Saccharomyces cerevisiae S288C: one gene and its partner. The protein of the gene in region 2 purifies or fractionates together with the protein of the main gene of each other region. This does not show direct contact. Each region holds a gene or a part of one and is shown on either strand. Other genes may lie near its edges.

What was found. Proteins that work in one complex are often made in the same cells at the same time.
Region 1: the proteins of LUC7 (region 2) and SNP1 purify together in Saccharomyces cerevisiae (affinity purification with mass spectrometry; 5 studies listed by BioGRID). This does not show direct contact.

What each region holds. Positions count from the first base shown.
Region 1 is NC_001141.2:243,874-248,478, forward strand, and holds SNP1 (U1 snRNP complex subunit SNP1), read right to left. Parts: upstream 1,687-4,605; coding exon 784-1,686; downstream 1-783. Other genes in the region: ARC15 (Arc15p), read right to left, coding at 125-589; YIL060W (uncharacterized protein), read left to right, coding at 2,519-2,953; YIL059C (uncharacterized protein), read right to left, coding at 2,677-3,042; RGI2 (Rgi2p), read right to left, coding at 4,029-4,523. UniProt on the Saccharomyces cerevisiae protein: Involved in nuclear mRNA splicing.
Region 2 is NC_001136.10:297,522-304,321, forward strand, and holds LUC7 (Luc7p), read right to left. Parts: upstream 3,479-6,800; coding exon 2,693-3,478; downstream 1-2,692. Other genes in the region: NUR1 (Nur1p), read left to right, coding at 1-753; FG-nucleoporin ASM4, read right to left, coding at 896-2,482; YDL086W (carboxymethylenebutenolidase), read left to right, coding at 3,892-4,713; YDL085C-A (uncharacterized protein), read right to left, coding at 4,943-5,149; NADH-ubiquinone reductase (H(+)-translocating) NDE2, read left to right, coding at 5,690-6,800. UniProt on the Saccharomyces cerevisiae protein: Component of the U1 snRNP particle, which recognizes and binds the 5'-splice site of pre-mRNA. Together with other non-snRNP factors, U1 snRNP forms the spliceosomal commitment complex, that targets pre-mRNA to the splicing pathway.

The sequences.
Region 1 (4,605 bases), on a different chromosome or scaffold from region 2:
AAAAAAAAACTCAATACCTACATCACCGCGAAATGCCTGAAGTAAAAGCATATAACAAACGCGACCCTTAAAATTACGTATATATATGTATATTTCTTTATACTAAGTTTTACTGGGCAGAGTATCATACAGTTCTTCTATCCGATATATAATGAACGATAGGTGTGACACCACTGACTTGAGTAATTCTTTCCAGCCACGCAAGCAAGACACCCCCTTGTTTCTGGCCCTGAGGTACGGACATTCCTTTGTAGAGATACTTTACCAGCACGTCCCTCTGAGAATCACTCAAATTTTTGATTACATTACCAATATCGGCTTGCCTGACTTGTGTCAATGCTTCAAGGACGCTCTTAAAATATTGCTCCTTTGTTGGAGCATCTGCACTGTATGGAGGATCGGTTGTGAGTAATTGAACGGCTCCCAAAGAGTCACCACTTGTGGCAAGCGAGCGCAATTGATTCATTCGAGGTTGTAATTCTTGTAATGTGACAGTAGTTTCGTATGGTGGTACCAGATCGGCAGCGGTTAGTCTGCCACTCTCTGGATCAAATGCATCGATGTCAATTCTCCTCCAATCGGCTTCCATTGCTTGATCGTTCGCGTGTGTTGTGTTGAGTCTTCTCTGGTCTCCTTTGCTATAGTATCTTGTGTTAAATGCGGGCTGTTTTTCTCTTATTTTGTTATAGGGGCAAAGTCTGAGAAAGGGAAAAAAGTATCCAAATTAACTGATGTGCGGGTAATCATAGACAACAAGTAGCAGAGTTTAAGTATTACTTATATTCAATAGTCGGGCGCTTCTTTGGGAGCTGGTTGAGACTCTCGAGTCCGTGAGTTTCTAGATTTATATACAGAAGTAACAGCAGCAGTAGGAGTGGCGGCGGAGAGCAATGGCCTGTTTCCACGGTACCTCGCGTCCAATGTGGAACTGCCGTATCTATCAGCGCTATATGCGGAGGAAGAAGTTTCCCTGCGTGGCAGCCTGGGAGCATAATTTCTTTCGGCGGGATTTGATGTACTTGCGCTTGCAAACCTTCCTGGAAGCCTGCTGTCTCTGTTGGAATAGCCTCTGCCTCCTAGGCCGCCGCCCAATCTTCTTGGCTTGAAATATTTAACGGTTCTGCCTCTTTCTATGTCGACTATGCAGATTCTGTCTTTGATTTGGATACCTCTGTGTACTCCAATCTCCTTGAATGCCATTTTACTACTTATTGGGTCTTTGAAAACTATGAAGGCGTAGCCTTTACTCTTCTGGGTTATCTTGTCCTTGACTATCCTAATTTTTTCGATCTCGCCAAACTTAACAAAATACTTTTGCAGTTCAATTTCGTCAAGATCGTATGGTAGCCTCCCAATAAATATCGTTCTGTAGGGATCTGTGTCCTTGATATGAGGGTCAACGTTAGGATTCCAATTTTGTAGTCTCCGGTCTAACAATTGAGCATTTTTGATCTTGGAAAGTTTGATGTCTTCGTATCTTTGGAGATGGTTGTTTGGAGATCCTTCAGGAAACTCCTCCATATAGTGCTTCAAAGAGGTTGATAGTAAGTTTGCAACGCCAGTGATATTTGGATTTGTTTGTCTCTTCGCATATGGGTAATCGGTTGGTCTTTTGTAAGATAAAGGTGGCCTTGGCTTGAAAAGTCTCGACACGTCGTCTGGATACTTGGATAGATTATAATTCATCAAGGTTGAGGTGCCGATTACTTTTTTAAGGTTTCCTTTCGACAGTCGATGACCGTGCTGTGTGTCATTATCTTGCAGTTCTTTTTTTCTTCAGATGCGTTAATTTCCTACGAAGGGCGCATACAATGGTGCTGATGGGATTTATGAGCAAAACAAGTAGGCGAGCAAGACATGAACGAAATTGTAATGAAGCGTACTTCCTTTTCCCTACAACCTTAAAAAGGTCTCACTGATATATCCATTCGCAATAATGACAAGATTTTTGCATGGGACTTCTTTTTTTCTTTTGAATAAGTCGCGTTATAAGGACAAAACATTAAAAAAAAATATGTATTGATTCACTGATTTATATATACAGAAGTAAGTACCGGGGTACCTAAATATACGCATAAAAGTCTCTTTCTTTTTTTTTTTTTTTTTTTTAGCTTCCTACATTTCGTTAATAATATTATATAGATTATATTTATATTTAAGAAAAGTAATATCAGCATATTATGAATAGACAAAAAAGTCTAAGGTCAAGATTTATTAAATGTTAGATTATTAAGATTACAATTAACAACATTTGTTGTTACTTCATAAAATTTCGTTACTTCATAAAAGAACTACAGTCCCCCACTTCTAAATGAGTGGTTGTAGGGGTTCATATACCTCCCATACTGTTGGAATAAAAATCAACTATCATCTACTAACTAGTATTTACGTTACTAGTATATTATCATATACGGTGTTAGAAGATGACGCAAATGATGAGAAATAGTCATCTAAATTAGTGGAAGCTGAAACGCAAGGATTGATAATGTAATAGGATCAATGAATATTAACATATAAAATGATGATAATAATATTTATAGAATTGTGTAGAATTGCAGATTCCCTTTTATGGATTCCTAAATCCTCGAGGAGAACTTCTAGTACATTCTACATACCTAATATTATTGCCTTATTAAAAATGGAATCCCAACAATTATCTCAAAATTCACCAACTCTTCACATACATACCTGCGGTAGCAAGATAGGTACACTTTTTCTACGTTTCACGAAGGTAGCGATAGGTACCTCACTCATTGTAGGTGCGGGGGTAGCGATGGAGGTTTCTGTACCATTACCACCACAGCCACTATACTCACGTAGTGAAGTCCCTAGCGTGGAATTGTGTGGTATCGTTGCTATCTGTCGTTCGCCACCCTCGGTATATCCAACGTGCAGGCCAATATCACTCTCTAAGAAAATCGTATCAGGATTGGTACGGACAAACTCTTCATAGCCTACGTCGAAATCAAATTCTGCTAAAGCTGTGACTGTAGTTAAACCTAAAACCGCGATTATTGCTTGAAAAACTGTGGAGAAATTCATGATGGACGGTCACGTTCAGGGTCTGAGAAAACCACTCATTCCTATGTCCCATGTGGTTGGTTGCAATTTGCTGCTATATATACGACTTGGCTGTAGAGAGATCTACGTAGGATGTGTCCACTATCAAGGGGGGTTTACCAACGTTATCTTCTATTTTAAGTGCTCAAATGAAGGTTGCATTATATCCCTGGCAGTTTTCCCGGCAATTTTGCCGGCCGCTTATAATAGTCATGGTGAAAGGATTGTTGCTTGTTGTGGTTGCAACATGACAGTTGCCTACTAACTAAATAATAATCAAAGTCAGTTTCTCAACAATGGAAAACCTGTTGTGACCTTATCGAAGTAACAACATCGTATAATAATTAATCTGGAAAAAATACCATAGTTACTGCCGATACAGGTCTACGTGACTTACTGACAAACAGACTGAGTGACTACGAGTCCAGAAATTTAGTATACCATATTGTCGCTTCTTCTTATAGCCCAGCTCCAGGTCTGGATACGGTTCTGTATAACTCGTTAAGGTTTAAGTGTCCGGCAATTTTTTTGAAGTTTCATTTCTTCACTCGATGACCAAGCCGTGTGCCATCTTTTCGTTTTCTTTTTTTTCAATGTGTTTAATTATCTACAAAGAGGGCACACACAATAGAGCTGATGAGAACCCATGAGCGAAACAAGTAGAAAAGCAAGACGTAAACGGAATCATGGTGGTGTGTACATTTCTCTTTTTTTATTACACCAAGAAAGCTTAATTGGTACGTATTGTTCGTGATAGTAGCATGAATCTAGCGTGGAATTCTTTTATTTAAGGTCGCGTTGTGACGACAAAACATTAAAAAAACCACATGTGTTGATTTGTAGACTTGTATACACTCCAGTAAGAAGGTGCACACCAAAATACATGCGCATATAAATTATTTTATATAGCATGCTATATTTCGTAAATTCATAAAATTTCGTTAATTCATAAAAACAGCTCCCCAAACTTAGATGAGTGGCTGCAAGGGTTCTGTCTTGTAATCAACATCTACCATTGCGCCATCGTGTTTACATACAACTTCGACAGACACCTTGAATTTCTTGGCGTTCAACTCCGTTTCTTCGCCATAATTCCAAACAATCCGGTCAAAGGATTCCTGCTTTTTCTTATCGTGGAATTTCAATTCTGGCTTGTTGATAGCGGTTTTGATGTCCTTTAGCAGGTGCTTCTCAACATGCTGGTGTAAATGGCGAACAAACTTCTTAGAGTGCGAATTGGCAGTCTCTTTGATCTTTTCCGGATCATCATGCGCATCATGCAGGACAAAGGGTGGATAGTACTTCAGTTGGCAATGGACATGGTCGAACTCTTGATCTTCCGTCTCACCCTTTAAATATGTTTCAAAATCATGCAAATCCTCAAAAACCTTTAAGGACTCACCACTTTTTGTAGTGATGGTGGACATCTTAGGACCCTTTGCTTTCTTATCCTTTTTCGTCATTCTTATTATTTAAAATACTTTGTTATATACTGTACGTTGTTTCGTTTGCACTTAATCGTGTTTCGACAGATAGGTGAATCAA
Region 2 (6,800 bases):
AAATGGATCCCCACTAACTTCATGATTAATCTTTTTGTGTCTTTTTCACCAACGGCAATTGTTTTTTTAAGCTTTTCTGATGTTTCGTTTACTTCAGCAATTGCTATAGTATTCCATCAATATATTCTGGATTATATCATAACTAAGAGATTTCAAAGAAGCGTGGACGACGACTTGATTTTATCAAGTGCAGCTTTGCAAGAATATGAGGACAAGCATATAATGGCACGAATTAACCAATGCAGCAATATAGATACTCTATCATCTGCAATGGGTACTAGATCTAAAACACCGAGAATATTCACCACTCACTCCCTATGTGGCGAAGAAATCAGAGAGGTTTATAATTATGAAAAAAGGGAATTTGAGGCATTACCGAAAATGACAGAAAGTGTGCCAGGATCCCGTGAAACCAGAATAAAGGATTATGGAGGCATTTCTCAAGTATCTGACCATCAAAGTCATCCCATTGGTTTTCATTATTCTCCTAGAATGTCCCCATATTATAGGGATAAAGTTTTGGATAACAATTTGGCTCAATCATCGTCAAATGAAAATTTAGAGAAGGGCGGAGCTTACCTGCCGAATCAAGACCAAAATAGACCATCGAAATCCCTGAGCCCATTGAGAAAAACGCCTTTAAGCGCACGACAGAAAAGGTTTGAAGGCTCAGAGTTCAATGTATTGAATAAGAATGATATTAATTCCATTCTTCGCTCTCCAAAGAAAAAGAAGAACTATCACAAAAGATAACGTTTCTTAATTATGTCTAAGTATATACAGTTACGTAAAAATCAATAAACAAAAGTAAAACAATGCTGTTTGAAAAGTTATCAAAATAATAAATGTATGAAGTATTGTAAATGTTCATGAATAATTAGCTGGACGATTTCTGTTATAGGTCATTCCAACCAAATAACCAATTACTCAGTTTGTGCGTAAAACCAGCAGGTTCATTATTTCTGTATTTCGCTTCTTGCTGACGCATTTTCGATTCTAGGTTTCGCAACAGATTAGGAATATTCGAATTCGGTCCTGCATTTTGCATGAATGGCAATTTGCCATCTATTACATCCAGCCGCTTATTCGGAGAATTTGCTACTATTGGACTTGAAATATTTGTTGGATTACCAGCATGACCGGCAGGAGTATTATCGTCTTCCCTCAGAAGAGTGCCATCAGTTATTATTACGTTTGGTGGGGATGGTGTATTAGATGTCGACGATGTGGAGGAATTTTGATACATAGAAACGTTGAATTCTCCAATGTCGTCGACATTATCAATTTTGCAGCCAGCTAATTGCTCCACCGCATTTTTTGAATATGGGATGCAACCAATCAAAGAACCGCGAAATATGGTTCCATTTTCCTGCAGTGCTCTCAAAGCAGAAGATGGAGAATTATAAGTGAGTTTGACCCAACTTTCACCAGTAAATATTGGATATTTTTTGTTATTCGACTCATTATTTCTGCCTTTTAAAGTAATAGATTTATTAACAGTAGAATCGTTTTCATCACAGCCTGTATCATGATTATGGAATATTCTGAAGGTGTTGGGGTTAATCCCGCGACCCAATCGCAATACTTGAAAGTCTTCCATAATATGACCGAAATGGGAGAAGTGTTCAATCAATTCATTGGAAATTGATTCAGGATAGCCAAATACGATAATTGCGCTCAAACTAGAAGACTTGGAAGATGTTTCATGGACTTTATTGTTTGTTTCGGCGGTGTTGTAATTATTATCTAAATGGTTCTGTTCAATGTTTGCTATTCTAACATAAGAGTCTTTATCAAAAACATTTGGAGTATTTTTGGAATCATAAGCTGACCTATTTGTTTTCTTCGCCGTGTATTTGTCGGTAACAAACTGAGTTGTTAATGATGGAATAGAACCGAATTCATCCTCGCGTTGCCAATCCTGTAAAGTAACGGAGGGTGGAATATCGTTAAAATTTGACAACAGAGAATTGATGTCATTATTTGCCGCAGACTTATTTCTTTCATTATGCTTGGAATCTTGATTTTGCTTACTGAAATTTCTCATAGTAGCGTTCATAGAAGATGAATCATCATTCTGGTTGATGTCAGAAGAAGAATTTTGCTTTGTTGTCTTCCTTCTTATCACCGTATGAGGAGTGAATCTCTTTTTAGGATTATTCACCCAGCTAGGATTATTCCCTTGGCCATGTTGGCTTATGTTATTTGTGCCGTTTTTAATGTTGTTGTTGTTGATGCTATTGTTACCGATATTACTACTATAGTTATTGGCGTTTACAGTATTGGAAAGTGAGTTTCCAAATCGTAAAGAACTTGCATCGGATGATCCATTGAATTGCAAGTGTTGCTGCTGTTGTTGTGGTTGCGGTTGCGGTTGTGGCTGCAACTGTGATTGCGATTGAAACATCTGGGTTGTCTGTGGTGCTTGCGACGTGAGGTTAGTAAATCCACCGTTATTATTGCCTGAACGTATTCCAAACATTTTAATTTGCCGTTCCTTGTTTTCAGGTTACAGAGAAAAAAAAAAAAAGAGAGCGAATAAAAAACTTAAATAGATAGGGAAACGATATGTCTACCTTATCGGGAAATAAACTATGCAGAGGTATGTGTGTGATATTCACAAACCTTTCTTCTTTCATAAGTACTCTCCTTCGAACAAAATTTTTCTAGCATCATTTTTTTATGTATGGCCCTACACAAAGCGTCTTCCGGGTAGTGTAGTAGCTGTCTTGCTGGCGTTAGTTGTCCGGTTATTCTTCATTAGCCGATCATAATCCTCTCTCATCTTGACATATCCCAGATGAATCTTCCCCAAGAAGTGGTCAGCAAGCCTTCTGTCTGTATCTAAACGCGATAGGTATGCCCCACACACCTCGCAAACCTGTAACTTTTGCTGGGCGCTCTGGCCCACGTTTTCTGTAATGTTTCGTACACGTTTTGCAACTTCTTTCCTTTTACTAATCAGTTCTTGTAATTTGACTGACTGTAGCATACCCATACTGACTTCATCTGCACGAATTAAAGAATCAATCTCTTGTCCCATTAGGCCTATCCGCACGTCCAAGACATCTAGTTCTTCGGTAACCTGCTGAATCTTCATTCGTTCCTCAGCGGTGTGTTTTAGATTTTGTAGTGCTACGGATATCTGGCCATTACACTCATTAACAAACCGAGATAGAATGGCCAGATATTCTCTTTCGAATTCGGGAAACGTTTTGCCCTGCTTGACCTCTCTCTCGTACTGAATTTTATGCTTGGTAAGATGCATCTGCGGGCATTTTCCCAGGCTCTGCTTGGTGCCCTGAAACAGGTCGTAGGGGCACTCGCCAACAAGGTATGACTTGCAGATCTTGGGATCGTGTAGTCCGAGGTCTCTTTTTTGATGCGAATACCTGTTGTGGCGGAAACTGAAGTCCCTGCCCATCAGCTGTTCGACGAGTTTGCGTTGTTCTGCGGCAGGCGTTGACATAGTTGACATTCTGACGGTAGTTGGCAGCTTTCTGCTGGGAGTGTAGAGCCTTTTGTAGTATAACTTTTTGTTCTTTTCTTTCTTCTCTAATGCCTGAGGCTTCGGCGGTTATTCGGGTAATACATTAAGGAAGTTGCCATGATGTGGAAGAATACGACTAGTCAGTTAGCGATGGCCAGCTCCTTTACCTAAATCATGTGGCCTATCTTCAGATAGCATACTACCACCAACCATCAATACCTCAATGGCTTTCAACAAGTACCCTTCGTCGGGTTTTCAGCTTTTTTCCTACTTTGCTGGATGCTTTGTGAAGATCAGGAAGAAATTTTATCGGAAAAACCTCACTAGGAGAAACTATATAAAAGAAGGGTCAGACTGAAAATGACGCCGTAATAAACTCGTGGTAGTAGATAAAGCAAACAATGTTGATTACTGAGACCTTTCATGATGTGCAGACATCATACGGCACCACTCTGCGTATATACGTATATTCTCCTAAGATTGCAGGCTATCCACAAGCTAAGTTTCCTGGGGTGATTCTGTACAGTGAAATTTACCAAGTGACGGGTCCGGTTCGTCGTTTTGGTCAAAGAATTGCGTCTGAAGGTTACGTTGTGGTGGCACCTGCCATATACCACAACTTTATGGGCCCTGAAGCGTTGCCCTATGACGTGCAGGGTACCGATATTGGTAACGAGTACAAGATCAAGAAGCCGTTAGAATCATACGATGAGGACAACAAACTGTGTTGCGATCTACTTTTCCAGTTACCCCAATTCGATGGTAAGAGAATTGGTTCCACAGGAATGTGTTTAGGTGGCCATTTGGCTTTTAGAGCGCTCCTGGACAAAAGGGTTACCTGCGCAACCTGCTTCTTCCCTACCGACATCCATTCCAGAACCTTAGGTCTTGGCCAGAACGATAACTCTTTGGAACGTGTTTCGAAGGAGTTGGGTAATAACCAAGAAATGGTTTTGATCTTCGGAACTGCGGACACCCATGTCGACCCGCAAGGCCGCGATCTAATCAGAAAGACCCTCAGAGACCACGGAGTAAAGTTTACGTTCTTGGAAATCCTGGCTGCCCAGCATGCGTTCATCCGTGACGAGTTCAGCAAGGGCAGGTTCGACTCCGCTATCACTCAAAGTTGTCTCGGCTTCTTGTTCGAGCAGTTCAACAGAAAATTGAGAATCGATTTGGGTGAATTTGTCGATGACAATACACCTTTGGAGCACGTTTGTTAAGATCTTCACTCTGTACACGCTATATACTAAATAACAATAAGAAAAAGAAAAAGAAGCACAATATAGGAAAGCGTTCTAATTAACTAAAGAAAAAAAAAAAATAAAAAAAAAATAAAAAAAAGGTAACTAAAAAGGACAAAAAACATAACAGCTGTTTATAAAGTACTTTATACGTAAGAAACTACTGGCACTATTCATTCCAATAAAAGGACAGGTATAAAGTGTCTGCTTATCTTCTCGTCTTTTCGGCTTTTAACTTCTCAAGCTTTTCAGCCTCTCTTCTAGCATCTGCGGCGGCCTGCTTTTGTCTCAAGATTTCGGCGTCTGACTCCATTCTTTTCTTAGGATCACCACTCTTTTTCTGGTTCTTAGCCATGTCCTTTTGTTTTTTCAAGTTTTTTTGTCTTGCCAAGTCTCTTTGATTACCTCTAGCCATTGTTAAAGATGTATCGTCTTGCGACGTAATTTGTTGCTCTGTGTAGTATTGATCTTGTTGGTATTGCTAGAAATGCTTCAGCAATACTGTATAAAATATGGAAACGTTGCCATGGCAAGACAAAAGAAGTGATCTTGAGTGAAATAATAGAGCCCGGATGGCCGGGTAAATTCAACCGCTCGTACCGTTTATAATACGCATAAACGCCGAAAATGTCTCTATTTTAGTCATTCCCCAGAGTGCGGTATTGCGTACACCTGTCATGCGTTCCTTAGTGCCGATAGATATACTAATATCGATGCGTCACAGTAGCAGATCATCTCTGACACTTGTTTCCCCATTTTTTTTTTTCATTTTTTAAAGGGTTTCTCTACAGCCTACAGGCCTCCCCTAATAAGTCAGCCCCTCCCTTTGGAGTGCGCTGTTGACCTGCGTATATAAGAGGTATATCAGTGCCAGTAGGTAAACCCATCTTGCGGGGATTGTACCAGGAACATAGTAGAAAGACAAAAACAACCACCGTACTTGCCATTCGTATAGATGCTGCCCAGACTTGGTTTTGCGAGGACTGCTAGGTCCATACACCGTTTCAAGATGACCCAGATCTCTAAACCTTTTTTCCATTCCACTGAAGTTGGTAAGCCCGGACCACAGCAGAAGCTATCGAAATCTTACACTGCGGTATTCAAGAAATGGTTTGTCAGAGGTTTAAAGTTAACCTTTTACACGACGTTGGCCGGCACATTGTATGTGTCATACGAGCTGTACAAAGAATCGAACCCACCCAAACAGGTTCCCCAATCGACCGCTTTTGCTAATGGTTTGAAAAAGAAGGAGCTGGTTATTTTGGGTACAGGCTGGGGCGCCATATCTCTTTTGAAGAAATTAGACACGTCTTTGTATAACGTGACCGTGGTGTCGCCAAGAAGCTTCTTTTTGTTCACACCGTTATTACCCTCAACGCCTGTGGGTACGATAGAGATGAAGTCTATTGTCGAACCGGTTAGATCGATCGCTAGAAGAACGCCTGGAGAAGTTCACTACATTGAGGCGGAAGCGTTGGACGTTGATCCAAAGGCCAAAAAAGTAATGGTGCAATCGGTGTCAGAGGACGAATATTTCGTTTCGAGCTTAAGTTACGATTATCTTGTTGTTAGTGTAGGCGCTAAAACCACTACTTTTAACATTCCCGGGGTCTATGGCAATGCTAACTTCTTGAAAGAGATTGAAGATGCTCAAAATATTCGTATGAAGTTAATGAAAACCATAGAACAGGCAAGTTCATTTCCTGTGAACGATCCGGAAAGGAAGCGATTATTAACGTTCGTGGTTGTTGGAGGGGGCCCTACGGGGGTTGAATTTGCCGCCGAACTGCAAGATTACATCAATCAAGATTTGAGGAAGTGGATGCCCGACTTAAGTAAAGAAATGAAGGTTATCTTAATTGAAGCCCTGCCTAATATCCTAAACATGTTCGATAAGACGTTGATCAAGTATGCCGAGGACCTTTTTGCCAGAGATGAAATTGACTTGCAAGTGAATACTGCCGTGAAAGTCGTAGAGCCAACCTATATACGCACTCTGCAAAACGGCCAAACAAACACGGATATCGAATACGGGATGCTGGTTTGGGCCACGGGAAATGAACCAA